5 linked regions of the Daphnia pulex genome follow. The main gene of each other region encodes a partner of the protein of the gene in region 3 in a complex. Links are inferred from orthologs where the notes say so. Each region holds a gene or a part of one and is shown on either strand. Other genes may lie near its edges.

Region 1 (6,201 bases), on a different chromosome or scaffold from region 3:
TGGTCAAATCCATTTTTAGGAAAAACTTATTTAAAAAAATATTGCTTGTCAAATGCGGCGTGAAATAATCCTGATAATCGCACGATACACGGTTGGAGGAGTTTAGACGATTGTGTGTGTGAACACTTGAAGACGACGTGAACGACTGTGGTTCACTAGTACCGAATCTTTTAGCTTTTAACAGGGTCTGACTGTGTAAAATTTTGAGAAAATGTTTGGGAATAATAAAAAAAGGAACACACACACAAGTGTGTGTGTAGAGAACGTGGGGAAGTGGAGAGGAAAAATAAAAAACGTGGTGGGTTGAGCCCGCGCTGACGGAATATCCCGCGCGATCAAATTGGCGCCACAAGCGAATGGCCAGCCAATCAGAGACGAGCCCAACCACTAGCTGTTCACGTGCTCAACTCGTGTCACGAAAAACTGGAGGGAGGCTTTTTTTTTTAACTGCTGCTGCCAAACCGTACACAAATCTTTTAGCATTTTTCTTTTCCCTATTAACACACCCTTTTTTCTGGCGAAAAAATATATTACGTATTCGTTGACTTTGCATGGCAACTGCGCCAGCTGACGTTCATTATACGAATGGTAAACATTTTCGCTGACGAACATTGTTACGTGCGAATAAACTGGGACACGTACACAATGTTTTGGCATTGGTCGAACCGAGCCCCCCAACCGACAACTTTCTGTCGAGTCATTTCAGTTAAAATCCCTTTTTTTGGCTACCCCTACGCAAAGCTGTTTGATGTATACATGTAATGTTGCTATGCCACATTTGGTGTGTTGGGGCCTACACAGCCGATTGCGTCATTCCCTTATGTGTGATAATAAATCAACAGTTCCTTTCTTCTGTTGAAGGAATCTTTGAACGACAACGCGATAAGAATACAGTATTTTAATACACTTGGGACTAAATCAAATTTCCGGGATTTTTTTCTGATTCAATTAAAATTAATTATTGGCGAAAAAATAATAAATTATGTGTGCACACATGACGACCGACCGGTCGCTATACGTGTCCAAAGAAACAAGTTACGTGTGACTTTTGTCTAGCTCCAACCTTATTTGGTCTACAAAGAAATTTGAATTTTATTATCCCGTTAAGTCTCCATTTTATGGTCTAGACTTTGCTCGTTTTTCTTTTAATATTTGAACAGTTCTTTGGGATTTTTCCAAGGTTTGGTTCAAATTCAAAGGTTCACTGCGTAGCAATAGGAATTTAACCATTCGGACTGACTCAAACTGGAAACTTCTAGATCGACTCGGAAAAAACCAGGTCGATTATCTTCTATTTATACAGCGGTCTCGAGGTTCACTAGGCACGTTTACGAAAAATACGTAGCCAACTCGACAGAATTTGGTTTTTCCCGACTTGACAACAACAAAATGGATCTGTGGAAATAAGAGACAAAGTTATATGTATTTTAATTCTTATTATTATTTTTTAAAAATTGGTGTGAATCGAGGGATTAGCCTTCAAACATGCCGGCAGCGAGTAGCAAATTCCTCCGCGTGAAATGCAATGACATGACAGGAGTGGCTTTGGTCGGGTAACGTGCCAGGCGGAGCGATTCAATGGCGTTACTCCGCTTGAGAAGGTCTGGATTGTGACCCGAGATGTTGACGTCCTCTAAAGAGGACTCATCCGTCATCCGGAAGAAATCCCACAGTTGGATGGAGCCGTCCAGGGAAGACGTGGCGAACACGGTCCCGTCTCGACTGAAGGCCAAACTGGAGATTGTCATCGTGTGCCCAGGCAGGTCGGCCAATAAGTGACCGTGAGCCAGATCCCATAACAGGACTTTTTGATCAGCTCCACCGGATGCCAGAAAACGGCCGTCGGTGGAGAAACACAACGCCGAGACGGTTCCCTACACAAACAAAAAACTTGTAAAGAAAAACAAACTCATAAAAAGGATGAAAATGTTTTTACTTTATGACCAGTCATTAGCCGGACACAGTTGCCAGTTACGCAATCCCATAAACGGACGCTCCTATCGCTGGAACCTGTGGCGACGTAATTGGAATTGGGATGGAATTGGACCACGTCAACGTCTGAATAATGGCCGGCAAAGATCCTTAAAGGCTGGTGATGATCGGTGGCCCAAAGTCTGGCAGTCCGATCATGTCCGACTGATGAGAAATAGTAGCCGTGAGGGGAAAACCTCACGTCCCACACGGGGTAAATGTGGCCTTTATAGACCACCAGGCAGGTCCACGTCTGCAAACTCCACAGCCGGATCGTGGCGTCTTCCGACGATGATAAGAGTAACGTCCGGTCGTGACTGAACGAGGCAGCGTAAACCGGCCCGCAATGGCCGTGAAGGACTTTCATAGTCTCACCCGTCTTGTCGTCCATCATACGAACGAGAACATCTTCGGCCTCCTTGTCGATATCGGCCAATTGCTCGGCCGGTTTCATGGCCCGGAGTTTCTGGGGTACAAGACTCCAAACTTTGAGGATGGAATCGGAAAACCCTACGGCTAATAGTGACGAATCCTCGCAGAATTCGACGCACGTGACCCTGTCATTCACAAAAAGGGAAAAAGAAAAAAAATTATAATTTCAAATTGAATGGAAAAAATCAGGTAAATTAGAATAACTGACGTTTCCGCGCAATTCAGCATCGTGTAGAAACAAATGGACGGCAAATTGTCTGGACCAAGAGCCACCCTCTTGCTGGCTTCTCGTAGGGCCCTGACCTTCTCCAGTTTGTCGATATCTCTCCTGAAACAGAAACTCACAGCTCAACCATTTTCCTTTTTTTCCACACCATTTTTCACTGCATCTGCATCTTACAAATCTGGTAATGGCAATCGGCTGGCCGGTGGAGCATTAGGGTCGCTCTTGGCTTTCTTGTTGAGCAACGGATCCTTTTTGGGTTTCTTCTTTTTGGGCTTTTCACCACCTTCGCCGGGTTCTCCGTCCTCTTCCTCCTCGACTACCGGAAGCTGGATATCGGGCTCTTTGAGCAGACCATAGTAGATTTTGGTCTTGTTTACTGTAAGTGAAAAGAATTGGTAATTGTTTTGGGGATTTCTTTCTAATCTCTTGATTTGTGTACCTTGTCTGTTGGCCTCGCCTTCCATGGCTCCGGCTGTGGATTCAACTTGGGCTTTATTTCTCGGCACTCCTTCGTACATGTCGACGTACAAGTGTTCCTGAATGACGTTCATGACAATTGATTGGTTCTTGTCCTGCAAAAACCGCTTCAAAACCGAGTAAGTATCCCGGGACATTCGAACGGTGAACTGACTTGATCTGTTTAACAATTTAAGTTTTTATGATTGACGATTTTATTTAAAAAAAAAGTGATTTGTTACTTGAAATTCTCCATGAGATCACTGCCTTTCATGTGTTCTTTTTTGGTAATAAAAGAAACTTTTTTAAGATCATCCTGATAATAATCTTCCTGATCTGTTGAAAAACGTTCCATAAATTTAGCGGCTTCTGATTCATGTTGGTTGTAAATCATTTCCAAATACATGTGGACAAATAAAGGGTACAATACTAGGGACAGCTCATGCTGAAAAGTAAACAAATTGAAATTATTATTTGAAATTGAGTTGAATATCTTTTGACCATACTTTATAAACATCCAGCGAGCTTTCCACAAATCTCCTGTAACTTAGGTAAGCTTTTTCGTAGGCATTTGGGTCTCCTTCGCTCTTGTATGATGAGAGCAAATTTGTTGCCTCTGAATCCACTTGAAGAGCTTGTGCATCTCGTAATTGATCCTCCTTGAGCCGTGCTTCTTTTTTCAAAATATCAGCCGTCCCCTAATACATTGTAAATAAATGAGACGCCGAAATTTAAAAATAATCATGTCATTTTCAGTTACTTTCAGGTTGTGCTTCTGAAGAAACTGTAATACGGCCGCAAGGGTATTGGAGTCGACATTTTCTGGTTCTACAGGTTGAACTGCACTGTTTTCACTTGGAACTTCACTGTTTTGACTTTCAGATGCTTCAATTTTCGCGTTTGAATTACTTGTTTGAGATATCTGATTCATATCGAACTCCATTTTTCCTTTTTTTTTTCGTTGTAAACAACCCCGACAGCGGGTTTGCATTGTGCCAGTTATCAAATTTATTTACTAAAATATTAATTAAAACAATACTTTACCCATAATAAAATTGCTAATTTTTCTAGCATCAAATTAATATAGGTTTTAATATGTTTTACGATATAATATTTCAACTATTTTTAAAGAAAGGAGTGGAAACGGAAATAGGCAATGTAGGAGACCATCAGGCACTGGCTCTCTCACTCTTCTCTGCAGTCTTTCCTAGGTAAGTTCATTCTTGGTTTTACTGAGTTAACAAAATCCAATATCATCCAACAATTGCCTCGTTTTCAACATCTCTAACCGACTGTTTCGTTTTCCTTGTTTCATTTAGAGACCGACTGCATCATGAGAGCTAAGGTAATTATCGTTTTTCTACCTATTCTATGTGTTTCATGTATCGGTGTACTGTGATGCTTGTCTCGAGGCTTGTGAATCTAATGGCCGGCTCTTTCTTTCTTTAGTGGCGTAAGAAGCGTATGCGTAGGCTTAAGCGTAAGCGCAGGAAGATGCGTGCTCGCTCCAAGTAAATCCATTCTCAACCACTCGCAGTCACATGGAAGCAAATGGCAGTCTGATTCTTAGGTAAGTTCACTAGTTTTAATGACGCCGTGTAAATTGTCTCTAACTGTTCTGTTCTTTCACTAGGTAATTCTGGGTCAGCTGTCATCCAGAACCAGAAAACTAATTACCACCACGAGTTCCCACTTGGACAAAAGCTGCTGAAATTTGGCTGTAAAAAAAATTACCTCTTGTGAAATGTCATTCGTATTTGTACCATGTGCATCAATATAGATTCGCCTTTTCACAAGAATATCCAAATTTTTCTCGTTATTTCTCCACTCATTTCAACTTCCAAAGTGCAAAGGCTTATCAGTATCAGTAAAGCCAATTAAAGAAAGAATGAAATGAAATCAACGGGCAAGGCAAGAAATGTACATTTCCTGATATAGCAGCGTTACTTACACGATATCCAAGTTAGGACATTATTCGAAAGATATTGGGAGGGCCACGATCATGATCAAGGAGAGAAAAAGCTAAATAGGTATATAGAGAAGAAATGTGTGGAACACCTACATTGATTTGTATATAAAAAAAAAAAAAGGTAATCAAGGTTTCACAAAGCTTGATATACAAAAGTTTTGAAGGGCGGGGGGGAGGTTCGAGTATACACAAAAGAAACGGGGGGAAGAAATTCTACACACGAGAAAAAAGAACCATCACACAAGTTTGTTTGAAGTAAAAACGTGGGGGGAAAAAAGGTGTGTGTTATGTAAAAACCAAAATAGAAAAAAAACATGGTTGATGATGGTCGGGAGATTTAATAATACAGAGTCAGGCCATTATTTTTTGTAAACCCTTGCCTTGTTTTCTTTTCCAATTCAAATTCGCCATTTAATTTGGAATGTCGCTGCTCCGTTTGAATAAAAAAAAAATTAAAAAATAAACGATCGACACAACGGATAATCCCCAAAAAAGGTTGTAACTATTTAAATGCTGCAAATTATATTCTGATGGGGGGAGGGGGATGCTGTAAAGGGATATGATATAAAAGTCCTTTTGATGGTTTACAAAAAAAAAAATTAGGGAAAAATAATAATAAGAAAGAAAAGGAATTGGATCCCCGCGTGTGGAAAAAACAAAGAAAACAAAGAACGGATGATTTTTTCTTTTTTTTTAATATATGGTTTTTTTGTTGTTTTTGTTGTCTTTCATAAATGTGTGTAGTATGTGTTTTTTTTCTTTGTTTAGTTTCTTTTTTTTGTTGTTTAATTATTTCGTGATCACTTGCAGCACGAGGAAGCTGGTTTGTTGCCGTCTTCAGCTCTGTCTAGCCTCCTACCCTGCCCACTGCTTCCGCCAACACCTCCAGCTCCGTCGTTCTTAGGTAGTTTCTTGGCTGTCAAGTGCAAAAAGAAAGATGTACATAGAGAAGAATAATTGCATGTGAGTAATGAGTTGAATTTACCGATAGCCAAGAAGATGTCGTTGACGTTCATGGCCGTCTTGGCTGACGTTTCCATAAATAGAAGTCCGTTTTCTTCGGCGTAGCCTTTAGCTTCGTCAAATTCAACAGCACGTTTAGCGGCCAAGTCGGCTTTGTTGCCCGCCAAGGCAATGACAATGTTAG
Region 2 (6,129 bases), on a different chromosome or scaffold from region 3:
GGAGTTGTCACCACCGATTGGATGCAGAACTCCACCAGCGTCACTGTCGTCCTTTATACGCGACAAAAAGGACTTGACGCACACCGGGTGTCGACGTCTATCGACGGGAAACTTTTCCGTATTCGTATCTACAGCGACGATTGGTCACGCTGTTACGATTATCAAATTCACTTAGCCGAAGTTGTCGAATCTTCCTGTAAGGTTACAGTATCGTTGACAACGGGCAAAGTGGAATTGGTATTGCGCAAAATACAAACTGCACTCCATTGGCAGAAATTGGGCGATTTGGAGGACGTCAGCCAAGGGTTTCAGCCGTTAAGCCAAGCCTCACCATTCTTCCGCCAGGCCACTTTAACACGCAAATTGCGCGTTAATCACAATGTTTTTCTATTCACTTTGACGTTTCCTACTGGTCAAGACTTTTACGTCCCTGTTGGTTGGCATGTTCAACTCAAACTATCTCTGGAAGGTGATTGCACATATGCGTGATCTTGAAAAAGGGTTTTTTATTTTTATTTTTTATTTTCACGTTTCTAATCATTAGATGGAAGTGAATTAATCCGTAGCTACACTCCTGTTGTTTCTGATCTTTCTTCGTGCAAGACAACAGACTGCCCATCTAAAACTGAAGCGTCTAGTTCGCTTCAGTTTCTAATCAAAATCTACCCTGCTGGACCATTTACTTCGGCATTGGATCGATTGGCTGAGGGTAACAGCTCGATTGAAGTGAGTGATCCAACTGGAAACTTCCTAGAATCGCAATTAGAGAGCAAGAATGTGGTAGCTATCGCCGCTGGTACGTATTAGCATTGTTGGACGACCCCCATTGTTGCCTTGTCTTTGTTGACATTGTTCTGTTTATTCATATTTGCCCTCCCGTGATATATTAACCAATAGCAAACATCTTAAGTAAATTACATTCTTTTTTTAATAAATTAAAATTCCAGGTACGGGGATCACGCCATTAGTCAGAATAACAATCGATACCTTACGCAATAATAGGTACCCCTTTTGATGTTTTTGTCGATTAATCTCTTATGAACTAAGCTCATTTGAATACCAATTTTGATTAATTTAGGCGTGTTATGTTACTGTTCTTCAACCGAACTCAAGAAGACATAATCTGGAAAGAAGAGTTTCGGGAATTAGAACTTAAATATCCTGAGAAGTAGAAAAACCGAAATTTCATTCTAACCTCACATTAATGAAACATCTATATCAATTTTTCAACAGGTTTAAAGTATGGCACGTATTGTCTGAGCCGGATGAAGAATGGTTAGGTCTTCGAGGCCGAATCAACAATTCTATACTAGCCACAACTATTTTAGGTAGGGATTGTCCTGACGACGGTTCCAATTTTGCGTGTGTTTGCGGACCGTCAGACTTTACTTTGGAAACACTCAGGTGATACATTCTTTGAAAATTCACACGAAATTTTGGATTGAAAAAAATGACGAAAGTTTATTTATTGTTAAAAAAGGTTGCTGGATGCTGCAGGATACATAAATGAGGCCGTTCACGCGTTTTCGGGATAGAAAATTAGGAAACGCCTGCATATTTGACTTCATCGAAAGCTTTACGAGCTTTCTTCAGCTCCTCGTTCATGGTTAGAAGGTCTTTGACGCGGGCAAATTTACGCGTGTCCTTGCGAACTAAAAACACCATGTCTTCAACTTGAACTCGGCCTGTCCGTCCAGTTTCCATGGCCTTGTGCGTCTGAAGTAGTAATAATGCAAATAGTTAATGTCAATAAAGTCATTTGCCATGTTATAGAATTCTAATCAGGTTGCCGACTCTTTGTGAATTGCCATAACACGATGAAACATTTGCATTTGATTTCAAAAATAAACATTTTTGCATTCTAACTTGATAAATAAAATTCAAAGATAGCAAATCAGATGTCACAGTTTGAAAAAAATTTTAAGGTATTAGTCCTACCGTTTCAGTGATGTATTCAATAACAAGGTCTTCCAGCAGATCAACACTTTCTGTATAGGGATTTTGATCATCACCAAATCCAAACATCATGCAACGAAGTTCCTTGCTGAAGAGGCGCTTTCTGCCTGATGAAGTGGATCCATAATGCAAATCAGGTTCATCATCATCAAACTAGAAATTGAAACATTTAGAAATTAAATGAACAGTAAAGCATTAAAACAAATTTAAATACAAAAATTTCCACCAGCAATATGTTATATGTACCAGCAAAACTTTCAGCTGGAAATTACTTAAGATTTAATGTAACTTAAAAGAAGAAAATTACCTGATCATAGTTTTCATCTGGATTTTCTCTTTCTTTGCTGTCTCTTTCTTTCTGTGGGGACGAAGTCAATGAAGTATTCACCGAGGGAGAAGACATTTTGAAATTTGATTACTAAACGAGTAAATGTTAGTGGGTTGGAGAATTTTCGAGCAATAAACGTCAACAAATCAACCACTGCAGAAGACACTAGGTAGGTTAGTAACGAAAACGGTTGCCAGATGGCTGTAAAAGCACTCTTGTACGTACTAAAATCTGCTTTCTTGTAAAAAAAATACATTGCGCGGCGCCTGATTACGCATTCAACATTGAAAAATGTTTATTGGTTACAAAAAGCCAGAGTTATAGCTCTGCAAAAAGCGTCAAAGCAAAAATTTCCTCGATTTAAATTAGTGTCGTCCATTTTCATTCAGTTTGAAATCTCCAACGTAACTCGGCTTTTCTACGCCGTTAGCGTACATGGCAACATCATACTTGATTCGATATGGTTTATTGGAACCTTGATTGTAAAATAAGGAAACAGTGATACGAGCTTCTACTTGTTTTCCGGGGTAAAATTTTTCAGAATCCTCAATCATCTTGCGGACTTCAAATTCGAAAGATTTGTAGGCACTGTTGTTGAAATTTTTGTGCATGGGGACGAGATTATTTACGTCCGATCCCGATCCTCCAAGCATTTTGGCAATGATATGCCCGGCATGATAGTCTCCTTCTATACCTAGTTGTTTTTTCTGCTCATTGTTTATGGACACTGTACTTCCATTTCCAAAATTTTCCGACCGAACAACCGCATAAACTTTGCGATACTCGTTCTTCTTCTCCAACCTTAACTTTGACAGACTTGTCATTCGACATTCTTGTAGACAGGAACTGAACCAAGAATCTGTAACACAAAATGTGTTTTAAAGTCCTCATAACTGGAGATTCTAAAGTCGAATTGCTGGACTATATACTCACCCAAGCAAACAAATGAATGTCTTTTCACTCTTTCCGGAGTTTGTTTTTGAGAAATTGCTCGGAAAACTTTGGGCGGGTCAGACGATCAAGAGCGGAACAGCGGATTCCTGCTGTCTGTTTATGTTTACGAAATTCGATTCATAAATCGTCGCCAGTGTTGCATTATTATACACTTCAAACATATCTCATTACTATTATATTTTTTAGTTTCTTTTAACGAAATCACGTTGTAGAGCGGTGATTCGACTCCGAATGAATCCATAAATAAAGGATAAGGAAATTTAAAAAAATACGTGGTCAGGTTAAATCTAGATATGGCAACCTCACTTCTCTAGTTGTTGTTGCAGCCGTAGCCGAGCCGCATTCAAGAAAAACTAATTTTGATTGGAAAGTTTCACTTACCTGTTTTTATAACTATTTCTATAAAAAGGAATAAAAATAACTAGACATGACTTCTCAAAAAAGTACCAGAGAAGTATTGCTTACTTGCATCGACGATATCGAAATCATCGCAAAGTAAGTTTTTCTTGATTTGGCTGCCTTTGTTCGTCGACTATTTTGATCACGTAGTGCAATTGTTCTTCCTTCAAAATTTTTTTAATGAAAGTTAAAGCCTCAGATCTATCTATTGTTCATTAGCATGATATATTTATTTATCTTATTAGGTAATCATACCATTGTTTACCTGAAATTCAGAACACTTTGTCACACTCGTTTGTATCATACACTGTTTTGAATTTGATTATTGAATTTTAATCTTCCAAAATATAATTGTCACTGTACTAAACTTAATCTTTTTAATTTATTAGGGAACTTTTGGACAACTTAATAGCCCAGAAGCAGCAGAAACCTATGAGTACTGAACACTCTCAACTTGTTGAATTGGTTCTTCAAAAAGACACTGATCTTAAGGCAACACTTAAGGTAAAATTATTTGTTTTTCATAATTTTTTTCAATGCTAATTCTTTCTTTTATTAAGTTGGCTGAAGAACAAGGTGTATTACAACAAAAAGTAGTTGCCTTAGAGACAGAAGTTGAAAGGCATGATGTTGAGATTCGAAATCTTCAAAAGCAGCTTAAGGAGGCAGAGCAGCTATTAGTAAGCTATTTTTAATTATTTTGTTGGTTTTAGTATTTCATAAACTTACTCTTTTTCAGGCTACTGCAATCTTTCAAGCTAAGCAAAAGTTGCAATCAATCACACGGGCGAATAACAGACCTGTAAATTCCGAAGAGTTGATAAAATTTGCTCACAGAATATCGGCTTCCAACGCTGTTTGTGCTCCTTTGAATTGGCAGCAAGGAGATTTACGCAGACCATATCCCACGGGTAGAAATTTTTTTTTAAATTGCTGTCCAGTAGTTTCATGTTGTTTTGTGGTGGTTTTCAGATATTGAAATGCGGCTAGGATTTTTGGGCCGTCTTGGTGAAATGAATGTCAATGGACACATGAGTTTTCCAGAACTTTTGCATCGTCCTAATCATTCTTTGCAGCAGGGGTCTTCAGTTCCGAATTCTCAAGCAGGCACTTATAGTTGGTTATCTCAAAATGACCTGCAAATGCCCTGTTTGTCAGTTTCACACTTGGGTGTGAGTGGTGGAATGGATCACAAAAATCCCAAGAAAGAGAATGAAGATGTCGACGTTATGTCTACGGACTCGAGTAGCAGTTCATCTTCCGATTCTCAGTAAACACGTGAGCTAACAATTTACACTCTGTATCCTGCGCGATTGCTTAATATTGTTGGTAACCATCCTGTATACTATTCTACTTTCGCATTTCTTTTTGAAAACCTTCCTCATTCAAAGGTTCGTAAAATAGATAAATATTTGTGCAATTCCTTTTTCGAATTGTTCAAATTCTTTTCCATTATAAAGTTATGCAACAATTTATTTTATAGTTAACTTCTCACTATTTACAAAATAGCTTTAGAATCGAACTCCCCATATAAATTCAGGAGATGTGCGTCATCTCTATAAAAATACCTAGATTTCCATATATTCTTCAGCATAATAACCCGAGGCACGTCGGTTAAGGTCACACAAAGTATTCGCGTATTTCATCGAGCAAATAATCGGATGTCTCTTCGCTTATCTCCACAAACCGTTTTTGCTTGCGGCTAAAGACGTAGATGTCTCCGGTATAGATGTCGAACCATAACCTAGTATCATAAATTTCAACATTAAACACTTACGAGTAAACGTTTGATACATGATACATACGCGTGAAGGTGTACTCGCCCCGAATTTATGGCACTTTGAATGAAGCTATAACTGGCAATATGCTGTAGTTGTTGCAATGTGTTGAGCTGAAAAAAGATAACCCAATTAGATTTGTAGACATTACATAACTTGGCATAATTCTACCTGTGAGAGCTTATCTGTTAGACTAAATTTATTGTCAGGGTCTATGTAGGCAACAAATTGTCTGAATGGTCCCTCCATTGGGAAAGTCAAGGGCTGTTGGAAACCATGCACTTCTAACCTCTCAAATTTAGTTAGAGAAATACTACCATGGCGATGAAGCCAAGCTTTAAGTGGAGATCTCTCGAGAGTTCTCATGTTGGTTTCAATTCCTTTTTTAAAACTATACAATAGGTTCATAGCCTGAAACAAAAGTTGTGTGTCATTATGTTTATGTTATCATTTAACAAGTTTATGGTTGACTGACCTTGCAATCTGAGTGTCCACAAACAACCATGTGCTTCACATTATTTACAATGCACCCCAGCTCCAGGGCTGCTGGTTCAGTGGTAGCTGAATCAATTCCATACAGCTTCGAGTGAGGAACCAGATTACCAGCATTTCTAACTTATATTTACAATGTCCAGGAATATAAAAAAGCAAGCAGTATATATACTTGTGTTTTAACATACCTATGAACATATCACCAACATCTGTTTGTGTAAA
Region 3 (6,271 bases):
TTCAAAGAGCCTTGCTTTTTTGCTATGCAGCGTTGACAAAACCAACTTTCTGTTTCAGCAGGTGGAACTCGAATCCCGACGCAAACCCTAATCATGTTTGTGTTAATATAAATTAGTTCGGGTTTTTCCCGGTACATAAATTATGTTTTGTTTTAGTGAAGAGAAAAACTATACAATTACCAGTGGTACCAGTCGTCACATTCATCACAGCCTATCATTGGAGTTCCATCGTCTTGACGGCCGCAAGCTGGACATATCCATATCTTGTTCCCGAATTCGTCCTTAAACATTTATTTTTGCAAAGGTAAAAAAGTAATAAAACAGTAATTTGGCCAGAGATTATTACTTACATAGTAAGAACCAACTGTTTCTGTAATAACCGCTACATCTCCAACACCAAGTTTCTCGGCTTTTTTCTTCTCTTTTTCTTTTGTGACTCGAGGAGGTTTTTGAGGTTTTTCACGTCTGACTTTCGGAGATGGACTAGGTGTACGAGGGGACCCTGGGGGAGCCGTTTGAGAAGTAGATGGAGACTCCAACGAGGTTTCCCCGCAAGGTTTGATAGCTGGAGTCTCCTTCACAGTTTTTACCAGTTTAGGAGGCCGTGTAACCAAAGCAGAAAATTTTGCAACTTCGACAGAAGGTTGGACAGGCGATTGCGATATTACGTCTCGGTTCCCACTTGCAGCCGTAGTGAAATTTCCCTCTCTGCCAGCCATGGCTTTAAATATTCTAATACAGAAACATATGCAAAAGAAATTTCAAGCGAAGGTATTTTAAAAGAAGAGAAATGAAAATGGTTACAGTTTTGGAGTAGAATCTGGCGTGGGCGGATTTGGTGAAGTAGGTGCAGCTGCAAATTTAAATGTTATTTTAGGGACAGTTATTTCTTCTTTCTCCTTACATTTGTCCTTTTCTTTGTCTTTGTCTTTGTCTTTTTTTTCTTTTTTCTTTTCCCGTTTGGTTTTTCGTTCTTGCTCGTCAGAAACCTTAACTTTGATTTTTTTCTCCTTTTTCTTTTTCTCTTTTTCTTTCTTATCTCTTTTTTCTTTCTTTTTCGATAAAGTAGCGTCACTTTCACAAGTGTCTATATGTAACGATGATTCAGGGAGGCTGTCAACAATATTAGGAGACTTGGTAGCTGGAGACGGTGACGGAAGTATTTTATTGGTGGAATCCCCTTTGGGTGTTGTGCTAAAATCGGATGGCGATACGTTGGTAGGTATGGGTCCTAAGCTTGCCAACATATTCGAAGGAGAAATCCCTAAAGGTGATCTTAGTCCCAAGGGAGGTACTCCCAATAAATTGAATGGGACATTTTGAATAAATGGCTGGGAAACCAATCCGGGAACAGGAAAATGAGGGGAGAAGGGGAAAAAAGATTTCGGAATCGATGGAATGGGTGATTCAGCGTGCACTGGTGGTGGTACTACTTCAGATATTTGAGATTCACTTATTTCGGGCGTCATCATTCGAGAAGGGCGACCTCGTTTCCTTTTAGGTAGGTCAACACCATGATCAGTCACCATCTTGGCTTGATTTTGGCTTGATTTTCCACCACTTGTTGAATCGCTCTGAAACGACGATTCCTCCTTTGAGCTCGCAGGATCTCCTTTAAAAAAATCAGCCCCTGGTCTCCCCTTACTTTGACCGTCTACAATACCGATTTCGGAAGCAAATCCATGACGATCCTTTTTATTTTTTAGCTTGCGTTCTTTTTTCGAAACCTTGGTTTTTTCAATGGGGAAAACTTCACTGTTTGAAGAAAGCGACGCTATATCCGAAAACCCTTTAAATGCAACTTCATCGAACGATGCATTGGATCCTTTTTCAGACTCGTTGGTTTCCGGGGGAACGCGGTGCGGTGGTGGCACAGCGACGCGTGATGCCTGATTATCAATGTCTTTGGTTTTAGAAAGTTTTTTGAAAATATTCAACTTTTGCTTAGTGGAATCAACTGGTGTGATTGATTCTGAAGGTTTAAACGATGTAGACTTCTCTTTTTCAAAGAATGCAAATTCTTCCAACAATTTTTCCTTTCGTTTCTTCTTCATTTTCTCTTTTTCTTGTTCTTTCGCAATAATTTTGTCTTTCTCAGCCTTTTCCTTCTCCTTTTCCCGTTCCTTTTCGACCTCCCTTTCCCTTTCCTTTTCTTGTTCTTTTACACGTTCCTTGTCTTTGTTTCGTTCTCTCTTTCCTTCTTTTTCAACATCTGCCTCTTTGGTTGGTTCGAGTTGTAATTTTTTTCCTTCTTCGTTTTCAACTTCACGGTCTTTAATGATTTCATTTAATTTTTTCACTAAATCTGAATCCTTTTCATCGCATTTTCTCGAATTCTCGTCAGCTTTTTTAATGCCTTCAAACAGTTTCTTCATGTTAATTTTTTTCTCAGTAGGGAGGTTTTCTAATTCGGTTTCAGGACATATTTTTCGAATTTTGGTTTCTGGTAACTTTCCTTCTCTTGAGGAAGAGAGATACCCTGAAGTTGTCATCATTACACTGGATATTTCTCTTATTGGTTGCCCATCATCACCCAACCACCCCCTAAAAGACAGAAATGATTTAAATATAAGTAATCTAATATCACAAGGTGTGTTTTAATACCCTTTCCGCTTCTCAGCCCCATCAGGTCTTTTAAAAGAATAAGAATGTGGAGACAAACTTGTAATTTGTTCCACATTTTCTTGAATAGAAACATTAAGACTTTCAGCAATTTCTGTTTCATCCCCTGAAACTTTGTCTTCACCTATAAATAATTTAGTTTGTAATTATTAGCTGGAAAATATATGGAAAACCATTTATATATCTCACCAAGGATTATATGCTGCATTGGAGGTAAATGTTCATGAATGTGAACAGGCCTGGAAAGGACTTCATGGCTTCCTGGTTTAAGGAAATTCAATGCATGTTCTCTGGGTATGGGTATTGCAGAAATGTCTTCATTGAAAGGTGTAGGTTCAACATTGCAAACATAGTCGGAAAGGTCAGGTATAGAGATACCCATATCTCGAAAAACCAAACCTAAGTCATCTAAATTTGGAACTGTGCGTCCAACTTCAAATAAAACCATTTTTAGTAGCATTAAACTTGTATAAATATTTGGAGTATGAATTACATTGTTCTGAATATCTGTGCAATGAATGGCCTGTTTCAGTCAAGTATTTCTGAAGAACTTCAGTAAGTAAGTCTAAAGAAGAGGCATGAATCCCATTCCAGCCAATATTATGGCTGCAATGTCCAACAACTTGTCGTAAAACTTCATTCTGAAACTCATTCATTTCGGCCGAAGTTTTATACCTAACCTCTTGAGTCTTGAGGAAGGACCAAATGAATTGCTATACTAGAATGTATTTTTACAAAAAAAATTTAAATTCAAATTTTTTTTAAACTTTTTTTACTACCTTACTTCATACACTGTAGGCCTAATTATTTTAAATATATTTTGGGAAATTCAGGAAATTCTTTCACTAGATCACAAAACCAATGTATACACAAAAACAAGGTCTCTGGGAATGTGACGCCGTCCAAAGACCTAGCGTGCAGACGATAAATATGCCAATGAATTCTATTTACATGGTGTATTAGTATGGTGGGGGAACTTCGGCTATCTCGGCTGAAGCCAGTGGTCACCTATGATCAGCGCTGCCTGGTGGACAATTTTGAGAATTGAACCAATGACATGCCAAAGAATTGAACCAAGAATAGGTGACCAGCCCTGCAATTGGCTTGCCTTTTGCACTAAGCTCCGCCTCTTGTCCGGAAACTGGCTTCATTCGAGATAGCCGATTCCAACAAAAGTTCCCCCACCATACTAATACACCATGCTATTTATCTATTGCCATGTCGGTGGCGCGGGGGCCATAGAGTTAGGATGGTTAGAACTTAGAAGGCAATGGCCGATTGGCAGTCAGTTGTAAAAACCCGCCATCTAGCGACGTCTGGTGATGGCTATGGCACTCTCTGAAGTTGAAGTGAACTCTTGTGCTGAATCTGAATGGCATCTCTCATGGTACCTCAAAGGCCTGCTTTTGCTTGCCCTTGAGGTGCGAGGTTCTCGTAGAAAATGAGAAGAAATAAAAAAAACCAAAAACACGAAAATGAATCCCTTGCTGCGCGCGCGAGTTTCCCGATAGGGCTTTTTTTGCGGAGTTTAGGTGTCTTTTTAGTTTTGGGTTCGATATTTTTTTTCGATTAATCGTTTTCGTTAGGGAATAAAAAAAGCCTCATAACAATAGGAAAGGGAAAAAAAATTGCTAACCGAAATGAATCCGCCCAAAAAATTAAAAACCTACGCGCGAGGTCGAATCGAAGGTATGGGGTGTGTGTGACAGTAAATATAAAGTAAATAAAGTATGCACCATGGAAATAAACATTCGTGTACAACAAAACCCGCAGTGATGACACCATTGAATTCGGAGAACGGGAAGAACATGTTTCGAACTGCGGTGGAAGAGGTTATCCATCAGCAATTTGCGAAAGTTTATACTCGAGCTACCTAAAGAAGTTTCAAATTTGGATGCGGAATTTTATCTGTGGAAGTTAGTTTTGCCAGCTGCAAGCCTGCAACTGTTGTAGTGTTTTTTTTAGTTGTGGTTTTTTTATCGTTTCCAAAAGAAAATAATACCAAATTCCTTCAGCTGTCCGAGAAGTGTGTGGAATTCAAAACAAAAATGAAAACCATTGAAAAAATTATTAAAACTATTAAAAACGGAAGTAATCGAAATAATGTAATTTCTAGTTAATTTTACTATTCCGGCAGTCCTATCCACTGAGGAAAATTTTATTTACGATATCTTCTCCAATTACTTTATACAGAGTGATAGAGACTACCCTGTATCACTCTGCTTTATAATAGGAAATGTTTCTTTATTTCTTATTGGTCAACCTTGTTTTTATACTTTTAAAAGTTTCATCTGTTTGAAATTTTTATCATCGGTATTACCATTTCTACCGGATTTTAATCAAATAAAAAGTTAACAAACGATAATTCTAAAAATTTTCTGTTATTACGCATGGTTCCCTATTCACGGATGCACTTCTAGCTTTTTCACACTCTTCCTATAACCATCGCCTATAACGTGCTGCCACCAACTCGTTATTCACGGAATCACTTCTAACTTTTTCCACATTCTTCCGTATCGCCACCACCCTTCATCACTCTGCTATTTCGAAATCAGTTCATGATTTGCATTTATTACACATCACTGTAATCAAGGAACACTCATTCGTGGATTTAATTTTACATCTTTTTTTTTTCGCACCGAGTCCAACAACCAGAAACCGTTGAATTCTTCAGTAGATAGCAGAATCCATCCTGAGTTAAACTTAAACAAGATGACAAATTATGTTTAAATTTTTGAAAGGATGATTATAACAGTGTAATAACACACCTGCCAATTCATGGCCCTCTTGGTGAGACATTGAGAAGAAATTTACGCATTTAAAAAAAAAACAAATAACACGAAAATTGAAATGTGACCTTACACGTAATCAAATAATCAAATAATCATAATTTAAAAAAAAAGCTCGATAAAAATGAATCTATTGCGGTATGGTGCGATATGGGATAGAGGCAGGCTATTAGTCATCCACATCGTGATATGTAATCATTATGAAATCTAATTGATCATAATATTACCACGATATCAACATACAGGATTATTGAGACAGAGATCGAGAGATGTTTATAATTTTTTCTTGTATGATATCAGAAATTTGCGAAACTTTTGAAACACTGTTGAAAAAGTGCGCTATGCGCGGTATTATCTATTATGTAAAATTCTTGGGTTTGTGACAAAGACGCGAGTTTAAGGTACATAATTAAAAATCTCGAATTCTTTATCAAATTTTTACTATTTCAATATTCTACTCATCATACACGGGATTCATTACACGTAATTCTATGATCTGTACTATTTCGCTAATAGTAAAGAATAGTCATATGTGCAGTAATCTGAAGCGTGGAACCACACCCAATGGCACGACACAACAGATCATAGACGCAATAAAATTTTGAAAAGGCATGTTTCAGGTGTCAAGCTATGTAATATTTTGACAAAGACAAACTACAAATTTGTCGGGAAAATGAATCGATGAAATTAAAACGGGTATGAAAACAATGCATCAAGAATTTAGTCGTCAAAACGAATCGAGTTCACTTCGAATGAAATAGCTCCTCCCCTGTAACTTCCTCGCTTTTTTTTTGTCTTTTCATGTCGAAAACTTTTTCCCTTGGTGTGTATTAAATCAAGGTTGGCACGCTCTCCCCACG
Region 4 (5,594 bases), on a different chromosome or scaffold from region 3:
AACGGACAGATGAGGTTCCCTATCAGGAAGTGCGACGAATCGTCATCTCCACGCTGCAATGAATCATGAATATTCCCCAGTGCGTACTATTCTTCTCTAAAGGTATGATTTCATCAATTTAATTCCCCGCAAAGAGAAAAAATCAAATCGAATCAAGTACTTTGGACAGGTTGACAGATCACCTGTGGCAACCGGCAGCTGCCGGCTCGTTTGCGAATCATTGAATCATTCTCCGAGTCATTCCCCTGTCAATAATCCATCAGTGACGACTGACGAATGCATGTGTTGCAAAGGTACAACTTTCTACGCTCGTGCTGGCTATAGTCCGGGTTCCTGGTTTAGCGTTTTAGACTGCTGTGAGAAAGGAGACATCTGAATTTTAATTTCAGTCAATCCTTCATTCGCATCAAATGGTTCCTTGACAGCCTTTGTTTGAGCTGTCGGCTTCTAAGATAAAACTGTTTTTTGTTTTTCAGCTTCTATTATTTCAAGCAACCATGTTATGTCCTGCATGAGGACTTTTTCCCATTTAAATTTGTTGGAATTGACGTCACGAATTGACGTGCTTTGAAGTACCCAGATCACCAAGTTTCCCAAACATCTTTACAAACGCAGACCTTTGTGATTGGTTTTGTCAAATTAGATTTTCATTGCTTCTCTTGACGAATATTAAAATTGATAAGAAGGTGGAAATTTATTCTTGGAGCGTCAGTAGGTGAACTCCACGGCCAGAAGCGCTAAACCGGACTATGCTATGCATGAAGTGGTTGGCCACTAGTGACCAAGAAAAGTTCTTGGTTCGACCTTCTCCGATTTGCGTCATCCGGCCGATCGGTTTGCCAGGACCAAAAGACGCGCGAGACTTTCGTTTACGAATTACGACGTTGGCAATCAACCCTCCTCTTTTACTTGTGGCAGTTGTTGTTTGCTTGATGAATCGTAAATGACAGGTTGTATGTAATAATACGTCTAATAAATTGTACAACATACCAAACGTACGAAGGAGCATATTGCATGTATAACGCAACAACTGCAAAGATATGTTTATCGCGTATCTCAATAGTTGAAAATTTGATATTTTCTAACCACAAGCTCCGATTTCAGCTTCAATCAATCATTTAATTTAATTTCAATTGTTCCTTCATTACAGTGCATACAAATAGATTTATCCTATTACATTTAAAATGATTAAAATTTTTAAACAATTCCCCTTATGCCGTAACAGCATTGTATATAATAACCAAAAACTGAAAATTACCCTACTTAAGTGCGGGATATAGCTTTATTTTCTTATCGCTAGGTGTCTTATTTTTCCATTTTACAAAGTCGTCTGCAAGTGGTACTCAACAACTTTGTGAAAATGTCACGATATTTAACGAAATTTAGGTAATAAAAACTTTATCGGTCACGTGGAGGCACTCACTATAATACTTTATAATATATTTAGATTGGCCATACCTCTAGTTATTCAGACCAGGCAATTAAATGCTCATAGAGCGTCAATCGGTAGTATTGGACGATCTATCTACGTGAGAACATACCCAACTTTGCTTGTACAACCTGACGGTTCTACAATAACCGTACATTATAATGAACCTCGCGCAATAATAAAGGCAAATTTATTTTTATTTTTAATAAGTATGGACGTAATGTTTGTTTTACTTCCATTAACAGCTGCCTCTGGACTTGAGTATGCTATCTGAAGCTGAGAAGCAAAAACGACTGGCCCAAAGGAAGCCAAAGAAAAAGGTCAAGATTGAAGAGGAAATTGAAGACACATTTGATCAAGATTCATATTCACATTTATGGAAAAAATGAGATGACAGCTGATACACAAATAGTACGAAAAATAAACTAAATTTAACAATATGGATTGTGGTTATGGGGAGCTCTTTTTCTTTGAAAAAGGCATTTTAACTGGTCTGATGAATGGATTTTCCATGATAAATGGTTCTGAATTTGACATTTCCATCAGTGAGCCATTAGGTCCAAGGTTATCCATCATTTCATTGTTCTCTTTCTCCTGATCCAACTTGGCGGCTTTAATGGCTTCAGCATTTGCTTCTTCTTGCTTTTGCATGTGGACGGCTGCCTCGTCTTCTTCAAAAGTTTGATCGCGAGGGAGAAGGGCGGACAAAAACGGTTTATCCATTGGCTTACATGCAATAACTAGGACACAAAGAATATATTTAAATGAAAAAGGTATACATTACTATTTTTTTCGTCCTCTACTTACGGGGATAATGCGTCAAATCTTCGACCAAAAAGAAACTCTGCGTTTCCCCTGTTTTAGCGACAAAGCGCGTCAGTGCTCTCTCCACATCTCGCTTTTGACAGGATGCCTTTTCTCGAATAGTTTCGTAGTCCGTAATAGGTTGTTTGTGAGTCTTAAAAAACAATAATTATTAAAAAATATAATGTATGACAAATATGGAAAACAACATACTGGTGTTTGAACATATGCATGTGAATCTGGAAATGCTGGCAAATGATCTGGGATATGACTTGGATGTGGTCTCTTTTGACCAGTTTGTAAAATTCCAATTTGTTTGGTTGCAACAGCTTGAGTAGGAGTTGGTAAAACTAGCCTTCTTGCTCTTTGAGCATATGATTCCAAAGAGTTGTGCTTAATTCCCATTGAAACCAAGGCCATAACAACATCTCCTACAACAGGTTCCTAAAATTAAAACATATAACTTGACTACTGATTATACCCTATAACTCAGAGAAGAATTTAGATAACCCATACCACTCTTGCAGATAATTCACAGTAAAGACGGCTACTATGACCAAGTTCAGTCAGAACTGTAGAAAGAAAATAAATAAATAAGGTTTTTAACAAATATGATTACTTTGATAGATAGAAATGCTTACAGCTCTGCATCATCTCGGTAAGGGTCTCCAATGACAATTCATCTACTGCACTGAAGCCTGCCTCACTACACAAACAACTCACACTGGCCTGAAGCAGTTTCCTTCTACAAATATTTAAGATAAATTACATTTGTGTAAAACACCTAATTATTAAGGTCTGTCTAAATCTGACATCAAATACTGTAACATGGAAAAAAAAGATTGAGTATCCTTGTCAGTATTTTAGTCTTTTAAAAGTTGTTTTTCACCACACGTATATTAAATGTTTTACCTAGAAGCTGCTCCAGACATGATGGGTTCTGAAACAGTAGTAGTCATTCTCGGTGTTGTGGTTTATAGAAGAAATGATTTTTTATTGAATTATAATATTTGTTGAATGGTTTTGTTGACAATGCAACAAAACTAGCAGTACAGTCGTTGGTCGTTGCTAAACAGTCGCTAGGATTGGTGCAGCGGCGGCACCTGAAAGCTTCGTCAGATTCACTCGCCGTCAATTCTTTCATTTGGTTCTGAACTTGTAAGTCGTCGTCGTCCTAGTGAGTTTTTATCGTCTTTCATCTGGATTTTACCATAATATAGTTTTACAAAAATGTTCTGTTTAATTAAAGCATTATATAGACGACATTTGTGAGTTTTTCCGTGTTCGTAAATAGTAAACTTCCTATTTTTCTAAACAGGATTATCTAGCCACACCAGCTATATACAATGGCCAAATCCAAGAATCACACAAATCACAACCAGAGTAAGTTTATAAATTATATATTTGGAGACACGTTTTAACGTTTCCTCATTTACAGACCGTAAACATCATCGTAATGGCATCAAGAAATCCCAGGCTCACAAGTGCCCATCCAACAAAGGAGTAAGATTTTTGTTTCTTTAGTTACTTGGAACATTTGTCAAATTGACTAGAATTGGTTATTTAGTATACTTTTGAAGGTTCTTTGTAGTTCCTTGTTGCTTTAAAAATCAAGCCCATATTGATTACTGTTCACTGAAATCCATAAATTTCATTCTAAGTTACTTGACGTGAACTTTTCGTGCCATGTATGTGTTTAACCAATGTTAGTTGAGATTGAAGTTTTAATGTTTCTCCTCATTTGCAGGTCGATCGCAAGTTTTTGAGGAACATGAAGAAATCGCGCGCACGCAATCTGAGCACTGCTAAGCAGTTGATTGTCGCCAAGTACCGCAAGGACCAGGCCGAAAAGTAGTTTCTCAAATTCGCGAGGATTAAGTTTTGTGTAAAACAAAATGTTCTAAATACAAATCTTGATTCTACCTTTTCATCTATTACCTAAATTTATAATTAATGTAATATAATTTATAACTAAATCATAAGACTTATAGAATTGTTTTGCCAAAAAAAGCCGACTATTGTTGTTCATGGCTTCATGCAGCAGATTACTTAAATCTACAAGGATACAAAAAAGACCAATTTGTTTTTTATTACGCCAGTTATATATTTTAAGACAATCTGTACAAAATATAATTTGTATTGGACATCTGACGGATAGACTATTAGCAGCAAATTAACATCTTCAATTTATATTATTGAGAGTAAAAGTAATCTAAGGTCGTGGTCTGCGTTTTACCTGTAAAGAAAAAACGTCGTTAAATATCCTATTTCAGTAATGATTAACAGTTTTTACCTTTAATTTTCATTGTAACTGGTCCTCTCTTCTTTTTAGTGCCTGAAAGTGATGAACTGGAGGAACCGGCACCTTTTGGGTAAATTTCGGGTTTTGCGTGACCTCCAAATCCATCATAGAAATAACCACTAGTTGACGGTACTGGATCGACTTTCATTTTTTTAAACTTCAGGGATTCACCATCAACGGATGCGGATGAACTGCTAGCTTTGCGAGCCTCCTTTCGCTGAGTACTGGAAGCTGCTTCTTCTTGTTCAGGATTGCTAAGTTTGGGCTGCATGCTCGAAATATTTTGCGATGACAACATCAATCTAGACGAAGGAACGTTCGAAGGTTTCATTCTAAGCGGAACTAATGGAGTAGAAGGTGACGATGGCGTTGTCATGAGAAGATTAGACATTCGAAGGTTAGTCGGCGCAGGACTCTCATTGATTAGACGAGACAGCGCAGAGTTGCGAGGATCACCACTCGGCGATGAGATCGACTCCGTAAGGGCCTTAAGCTTTTCTTGCAGTTTTGCATTTTCTGTAGTATATCTTTTAATATCCTCTTCTGCCAAGCTGGATTGCTCTTCTTTCTCCTTCAATTCCTTCTTGGTTTGCTGGAGTTCAAGGCGGAAAGTGCTTAGGAGTCGTCGACATTTTCTTAACTCTTCGTCGGCTTTCTGCTTTAGTTGTACTTTAGTATTCAGCTCCCTATGGGAAAATAAACTTTGAAACAAAGCTTTGAATGTTGGCTGATATTATTCAGTACCTGCTTAAAATCACACATTGCGTGCTCAAGGATTTGGCCGTTTCTGAGTGATCACCATATTGCTCCAGCATTTCTTTTACTTCGTCATGAGTAGCAGTCACAATTTGTTGAACATTTTCCATCAGTTTAAGCTTTCCTTTACAAGTCTGCAGCTCTTCTTCTACGATGGCGAAAGACTTAACTTGCTTATTCAGGAAATCGACTCTCTGTTGGAGGTTGCTTATGACGGTTTCCGACTCACGAACTTTTTCTGCACTTTCCTTTTTTTCTTTACAGTACTTGTTAGATTTTTTCTTTAGAGTAACATTCTCTTGC
Region 5 (5,860 bases), on a different chromosome or scaffold from region 3:
GTTCCTTTGGTCAGTTTATAGATTGATTTTCCATCACGAGAATTAGCAACTTTGTGAATAGTTTCTGAATTTTGCGATATTTTGCCACTACCTAGTTTTCCGTGTTTTTTTTTGAATTATTTTTAATTGACACCGGGGTCATCTGCTTTTGACGGGGTCTACTATTGTCAATGCATGCTTCGCTAGCTCTCCTCAAAAGCAAGGAACGATCCCGTTTCCCCTTTGCAGTTTTCATCGCCCTCATAATCGTCTTTTAACAAATTTATGTATATGTTATTTGAAAAATGAAGAATTATAATAAAGCATTTTACACTCGAAATCAATAGATAAACAAGTAAATTAATTTTTAAATTTTTTTAAACAAAATACGGATATGTTGACGTTTCGGCTAATGTGGCAACCCGGTGAGCCATATGTTTTGCAGACGACATGAATTGTCAATTTGTGGAAAGTAATTCGAAATGGATGCACTCAGGAACGTAAGTTTTTAGAAAATGTATTTGAATTGTAATTAATGCCAGAAAGTTAATTGATCTCTTCTTCCTAGTTTAAAGATTTTCTCTTAGTGTTCAACAAAATGTCAGAAACTTGTTTCACGCGATGCGTGAACACATTTCAGACTAGAGAGCTGACTGAAGATGAGGTAGGCTAAGAACATGAGGTTTCTCTTTCATAACATATCAGACCAATAGTTATTTTTTTGTTTTTGCTTTTTTTTAGGATAAATGTGTTGAAATGTGCTCAACGAAGAACATTAGAGTCAACCATAAAATCATGTCTGTGTATATGGAAGTTCAACCTCTAATTGTGCAAAAGCGAGTGGAAGAGATGGAGAAACTTAACCCACCACAAGCAGTCGCAGAAACTATTCCTGAAGTTGCTGAAATTAACACAGTTGCACAGTCAGTCATAATAGCAGAAACTGAGCCTCAACATGTTTCACAAGAGACCTCATCTTTAGAGCCTCAAGTTGTGTAAAATAGTGACACATACCAACAGGACAGAAATGAATCAGTGTTATTGCATTGTGGTGTTACTAGGTTTGCCTGCCAGTGGAAAGAGCTGGTTAGCAGGAAGATTATGTAGTTTTTTAACAGAAAACAATTGCATTGTGAATTGTGCAACTTTTGATACTATTGTGAGTTTAGAAAAACAGGCTGAAATTGCTGTTTCGTCATCTAGTGAAATAACAAAGCATTACCGTCGCGAGATGAAAGACACTGTGGAGTCTTTCTTGAAAGTGCCCAATCCTTCTTCCAAAAAGTGTGTCGTAATTGTTGATGATAACAACTACTATCGAAGTATGCGGTATGAATATCATCAGTTAGCGGCCAAATTCTACACAGGCTACCTTCAAATTTATGTCAAATGCGAAGTGTCTGAAGCGTTACTCCAAAACAACAGTCGTCCGCAAAGCAGCCGTGTTCCTGACATTGTAATCACTCAAATGAACACCAAATTTGAAGATCCCTGTGAAGCGTGGGAAAATTCTTTGACGATTGGACACATTGATTTAAATGATACAGAAATATTGAACAAGATATGGAATTACATCCAGAATGCTGTGGATAGTCCTGTCTCAACATTGAAGACTCTAGAAGAAAAGAAGCTTGCGTCCGAGCAAAGCAAACTACGCAACGATCACAACATCTTTCACAATATCGACAAAGTTCTTAGAAAAAGATTAAACCAATGTATACGCGAACGTAAAGAAGAAAAAGACGCTCGTGTATTGGCAGCACAACTAAACGACACTCGACAATCTATTTTGGAAGGGATCAAAACAGGCGCCATTGCAATCCCGACAGACATTCTGAAGGCGGATGGATCCATCGATTTATCTATCCTTGAGGTTTGGTCCATTTCAGCTTTTATCCAGAGGTGTCCGTTATAACATGGACATGATTTGGTCATACTAGAATACAATTTGTTAAAAATAGCTGAAATAATAATAAACAACACAATAGAGATCACCTCTTCCTTTTTCTCTTGTTCCTGAGCAACAAGTTTTGAAAGAGCCATCTGAAATCTTTGCTTGAGGGCGGCGTTTTCAATTGTAGCTAGCTCGTTTTCTTGAGCTTGTCTCATGTTCTTGATCTCACGGATTTCATCCCTCAGTTTATCAGCCATTTTTTGCAAATCGTCTTAACGACAAATGATATTAATTTTTAAAGCAGAAAAACAAATTTGAAATGTTTACCTTTTTGTGTGTCGATGACCTTTTTTTGTGGAGATAGATTAGAAGAACTGCTGTCATCCCGAAACATATCTCCGCTAAATTGGGTTATCATAGAATTGGACCCCTAAAAAAGAGAATGTAACAACTATCGAAACAAATTTAATTATTTTAAATTTGGTACCCTGTTGCTTCCTGCATAGAACTCCGAACCCGATCCACGGGATTCGTCACTGTTTTCGTAGTCTGATTCCATAATGTTGATCTTGCTTCCATGTTCTTCATCTGAGTCGCTTAGTGCCTCACCAAAAATATCGTGTTCGGCTATAGATAACAGAAGTATGAAGCAATTTGAACGAGTGCTGAAAACCGTTGGTTTTTACAAAACATACCCAAGCCACGGTTTTGTGTGCTAACGAATGTTCCGGATGCAAGAGGGACGGTCATTGCTGCCCCATCTCCCAACCCAGCTTCATTGGCTGCCTTTACCTTAGATTCATCTTCTTCTGTGATCAGTTCCCATCGTACACTTACCGCTTCATTATCAACACGCAGTAGGCGCCTGACTTCTTTTTCGATTTCAGGAGCCTCAACGTACTTCTTTTTAAGGGTTTTTCGAAATCTCCTTTTCCTGACATTCTTCATTGGTGGAGCTATGCCGTGAGGCATAAGGAATTTTTTATCGACCTTATGAGGATCTTTTTTCTTTGGTTTAACAGGAGTTTCTTCTTCACTACTTGACTGTTGTTCTCCTTCTTTACAAATCAATATCTTCAAATTTTAAATATCAGGTAAAATCAATATTCTAAGAATTTGAATTGAATTATTACTCACCTGGCTGACATCAGCGGCTTTGTAAAATGTTTTATTGTCAATGGTTTTTTGAGATTCCATGACACATGGAAGATCTAAAACCTAAGTAAATATTTGTTTTACAATTGAATATCAAATACTCTAATTAAGAATAACACCTTGGCAGACATAGTCCAATTGTCAAACTGAACCTGTCCTTTCCTCATGTCATTATCCATTCTAATATTTAGGCGGTCCTTCAGATTCATCACACCTGTCCTTAGAGTTTGTCGCAAACTTTCGGCACATTCCTACCACAAACACATTAAAGAATTTCAGTTTAAGACAATAATAATGTGAATACAAGTGTCCAAAGAACTCACTGGTAAGGTTGGTGGGAGTCTCAATATAAACTGATTTTCCAACTCATCTCCTCCATTATCATTTGTACTGCTAGGTGGTAGAACTGTAGGTCTATTCATTTTTTAACAATTGAGCCTACCACTAATATTATTATATCACGAGTCACTATAAAAATTAGAATCAAATATTCGTGATTCGTCGTTCACGAGCAGACGCCACAACAATGTCGGACTGTCACTGTAGGCGTAGGCCGTGTAGCAACGTCAGCGTTGTACTGTATTTTAGACGTTGCTATACTTTCATACTTTTGTATTACTAAACTATTGTTCCAGGATTCATTTCTATTTAATAATTGGTAATTTAAAGAGAAAATAAATTTATCTAAGACAAAACGGGGATCAGAATACTTTTCAAATAAGAAATAACTCTTTACTTTTGTTGCTCGCCGCTAGGATCAAGAGCAAGATATCTCGAATCTCGATTCTCGAGTTTGTTTTGTTGTCGAGTCTGCAAAAACTTTTCCAACATGGCAGCCGCTAGAGCAGTAAAAATTTTGCCCCATGTGAAAGAGATTCGGATTCATCTTTGCCAAAAGTCAGACGCCAGCAAAGGGGTTAGGTAAATGAAGAGTGTGTTAAATGAAATGTAAAATGCGAATAATCTTTTATTGTGAAAGACGTGAATTATTCTGTGTAGACGTATAATCATGGTGTAATCGTAGAGAATAGTCTCATTCAGTCATTCCCTTAATTTTATCATTTTAACTCTTCATCTTCATGGTGTTATTACTATTCATTTTAGAGATTTCATTGAAAAGCATTACATCGACTTGAAGAAAACCAATCCCAAAACACCTATCCTCATCAGGGAATGCAGTGGTATCCTGCCAAAAATCTGTGCCCGACATGGTTGGTTTACATATTCTAATTTGGATTCATAGTAAAAATTACCTTAATTGTCTTTTTAATTTATAGAGAAAGGCCTGGAAGTAAGTGCCCCAGTAATGAACCTGTCTGCTGAGAAAGTTCACTCAGTTTTGGAAAGTCTTGTTCTAAAGAAGTAAAATATTGTTCTTTATTTGTAGAAGTATTGTGTAAATAGAAAAGTTAGGATGAAAAATTTACACAGTCCTTGCCATATTTCATAGTTTATTTTCATTATCACCATTTGACACTTAATTCAATCTTATATTGATTTAGCCTGGTCTATAGTTATTCATTTTCATCACCAGCAGGTGGCTTTGTTCCTTTGGAAAATTTGCAATGGAGGTTCATATGTCTTTTTACTTTAGAATTGCTTGTGAATTTTGATTCACAGTTTAGACAACTGAAAGCTTTTTCACCTAGTTTAAATTGTAAATTCATATTATAATAATAGATATTTCAATTTGGCAATGTGCTCTGGTTATAAAAAATTGACAGCCGTACCTGTGTGAGACATTTTATGGGTTTTAAGTCGGTGTGTTGTTCGGAAACATCTACCGCAAGTTTCACACTGGAATGGTTTCGCACCTGTATGTTCTTGTTTGTGTATCTTCAAATTCATTGGGTGAGTATATGCTAAACGCAAAATGAATTAGTAAGTAAATTTAAAAACTAAGATCCACAATGGTTAATTACCTTTATCACAAAGATCACACTTAAATGGTTTCTCCTTTGTGTGAGTCAGTTCGTGCATTTGCAGATTATTTTTTAATCTGAAAGCTTTGCCACAGAACTCACAAATGAATTGATAGTCAGCAGAGTGTAGTTTTTGATGATTTCTTAAATATGACAAGGTAAAGAACTGTTTGTTACATTCTTCACAAACATATGGCTTATTCCCAGTATGACGATTAAGGTGGTCCATGTACTTTAGCATAGATACAAAGTTCGCTCCACACTCGGTGCAAAGATGTTTATCACGGCTAGAGTGCCCAGTATTTTTTGTTTCTTTTTCAACTGTATGCACCAACGGTTTGCTAGTGCAACATTCTTGAGCTTCTTTATTTTCTTCAGTTCCCTCTTTGTTTATTAGACCGTTTTGAACATCAACTATTTCAGTTTCTTCAACTTTTATAAGAACTTCCATTATGATTAAATACCCCTTTTTATACTAGTTTTGATGCCCATTCAGAACTTTCAACCGAATAATGATGCAGCACTGTCCTATAATAAGAAATTTTATACAAGATATGAAGTTAGTATTAATTTTGTTTAGTTCAAAAATTCAATTAAATAGAATGACATTTTTGTTAAAGACTTTACCAGTGACCAAACAGCAGGAACGAAAATAAGTGTTTCACTGTTTTGACTGTTTTCTAAAAACAATCAAGAGAGCGTCGTCTGCAACAAAGCATGCAGTCCTGCCAAACCTCGAAAGTCGGCACTCGCAAGTCGCAACTCGCAAGTCGCAAGCCTGTAAAGTCGTAACTCGTAACTCCGGTAACTCGTAAGTCGCCAGCCGCAAAAGCGGTAATAAAGACCAAGTGGACTTTATTAGTGGAAACTGGAAAGTACTACCTGAGTACAGGTAGTGGTAGGAGGGCAG

The links.
Region 1: transcription initiation factor TFIID subunit 3-like (region 3) and transcription initiation factor TFIID subunit 5-like share a complex: the UniProt entries of both Homo sapiens proteins name them as parts of the TFIID basal transcription factor complex. The link is inferred for Daphnia pulex from reciprocal best matches to the Homo sapiens genes TAF3 and TAF5.
Region 2: transcription initiation factor TFIID subunit 3-like (region 3) and transcription initiation factor TFIID subunit 13-like share a complex: the UniProt entries of both Homo sapiens proteins name them as parts of the TFIID basal transcription factor complex. The link is inferred for Daphnia pulex from reciprocal best matches to the Homo sapiens genes TAF3 and TAF13.
Region 4: transcription initiation factor TFIID subunit 3-like (region 3) and transcription initiation factor TFIID subunit 8-like share a complex: the UniProt entries of both Homo sapiens proteins name them as parts of the TFIID basal transcription factor complex. The link is inferred for Daphnia pulex from reciprocal best matches to the Homo sapiens genes TAF3 and TAF8.
Region 5: transcription initiation factor TFIID subunit 3-like (region 3) and transcription initiation factor TFIID subunit 7-like share a complex: the UniProt entries of both Homo sapiens proteins name them as parts of the TFIID basal transcription factor complex. The link is inferred for Daphnia pulex from reciprocal best matches to the Homo sapiens genes TAF3 and TAF7.

Annotation. Positions count from the first base shown.
Region 1 is NC_060026.1:1,543,234-1,549,434, reverse strand, and holds transcription initiation factor TFIID subunit 5-like, read right to left. Parts: upstream 4,064-6,201; 5' UTR 4,029-4,063; coding exon 3,846-4,028; intron 3,784-3,845; coding exon 3,592-3,783; intron 3,531-3,591; coding exon 3,328-3,530; intron 3,266-3,327; coding exon 3,069-3,265; intron 3,006-3,068; coding exon 2,804-3,005; intron 2,732-2,803; coding exon 2,612-2,731; intron 2,529-2,611; coding exon 1,937-2,528; intron 1,875-1,936; coding exon 1,473-1,874; 3' UTR 1,405-1,472; downstream 1-1,404. Other genes in the region: Krueppel-like factor 10, read right to left, coding at 1-13; ras-related protein Rab-5C-like, read right to left, coding at 5,855-5,970, 6,040-6,201. UniProt on the Homo sapiens protein: The TFIID basal transcription factor complex plays a major role in the initiation of RNA polymerase II (Pol II)-dependent transcription.
Region 2 is NC_060026.1:12,376,118-12,382,246, reverse strand, and holds transcription initiation factor TFIID subunit 13-like, read right to left. Parts: upstream 3,353-6,129; 5' UTR 3,218-3,352; intron 3,144-3,217; 5' UTR 2,360-3,143; coding exon 2,264-2,359; intron 2,110-2,263; coding exon 1,939-2,109; intron 1,866-1,938; exon of another isoform or gene 1,717-1,865; coding exon 1,540-1,716; 3' UTR 1,536-1,539; coding exon of another isoform or gene 1,481-1,535; 3' UTR 1,435-1,480; downstream 1-1,434. Other genes in the region: cytochrome b5 reductase 4-like, read left to right, coding at 1-469, 545-796, 948-1,002, 1,079-1,168, 1,234-1,404, 1,481-1,535; mediator of RNA polymerase II transcription subunit 4-like, read left to right, coding at 3,666-3,733, 4,027-4,141, 4,198-4,317, 4,377-4,548, 4,610-4,911; beta carbonic anhydrase 1-like, read right to left, coding at 5,258-5,381, 5,443-5,528, 5,587-5,826, 5,891-6,030, 6,096-6,129. UniProt on the Homo sapiens protein: The TFIID basal transcription factor complex plays a major role in the initiation of RNA polymerase II (Pol II)-dependent transcription.
Region 3 is NC_060019.1:5,266,141-5,272,411, reverse strand, and holds the start of transcription initiation factor TFIID subunit 3-like, read right to left. Parts: upstream 3,587-6,271; 5' UTR 3,407-3,586; exon of another isoform or gene 3,402-3,406; intron 3,341-3,401; 5' UTR 3,279-3,340; coding exon 3,116-3,278; intron 3,055-3,115; coding exon 2,812-3,054; intron 2,747-2,811; coding exon 2,605-2,746; intron 2,545-2,604; coding exon 805-2,544; intron 733-804; coding exon 351-732; intron 282-350; coding exon 181-281; intron 88-180; coding exon 1-87. UniProt on the Homo sapiens protein: The TFIID basal transcription factor complex plays a major role in the initiation of RNA polymerase II (Pol II)-dependent transcription.
Region 4 is NC_060020.1:5,723,699-5,729,292, reverse strand, and holds transcription initiation factor TFIID subunit 8-like, read right to left. Parts: upstream 3,308-5,594; 5' UTR 3,193-3,307; coding exon 3,146-3,192; intron 2,979-3,145; coding exon 2,875-2,978; intron 2,806-2,874; coding exon 2,750-2,805; intron 2,678-2,749; coding exon 2,447-2,677; intron 2,388-2,446; coding exon 2,237-2,387; intron 2,170-2,236; coding exon 1,880-2,169; 3' UTR 1,785-1,879; downstream 1-1,784. Other genes in the region: E3 ubiquitin-protein ligase TRAIP-like, read right to left, coding at 4,426-4,469, 4,527-5,221, 5,280-5,594. UniProt on the Homo sapiens protein: The TFIID basal transcription factor complex plays a major role in the initiation of RNA polymerase II (Pol II)-dependent transcription.
Region 5 is NC_060022.1:1,980,655-1,986,514, forward strand, and holds transcription initiation factor TFIID subunit 7-like, read right to left. Parts: upstream 3,575-5,860; 5' UTR 3,451-3,574; coding exon 3,352-3,450; intron 3,280-3,351; coding exon 3,148-3,279; intron 3,092-3,147; coding exon 3,011-3,091; intron 2,948-3,010; coding exon 2,569-2,947; intron 2,501-2,568; coding exon 2,361-2,500; intron 2,304-2,360; coding exon 2,201-2,303; intron 2,145-2,200; coding exon 1,975-2,144; intron 1,974-1,974; exon of another isoform or gene 1,916-1,973; coding exon 1,889-1,915; downstream 1-1,888. Other genes in the region: mitochondrial import inner membrane translocase subunit Tim10 B-like, read left to right, coding at 462-479, 548-643, 721-978; L-seryl-tRNA(Sec) kinase-like, read left to right, coding at 1,007-1,894; NADH dehydrogenase [ubiquinone] 1 alpha subcomplex subunit 2-like, read left to right, coding at 3,858-3,949, 4,133-4,239, 4,306-4,394; putative zinc finger protein 66, read right to left, coding at 4,543-4,673, 4,759-4,890, 4,951-5,425, 5,833-5,860. UniProt on the Homo sapiens protein: The TFIID basal transcription factor complex plays a major role in the initiation of RNA polymerase II (Pol II)-dependent transcription.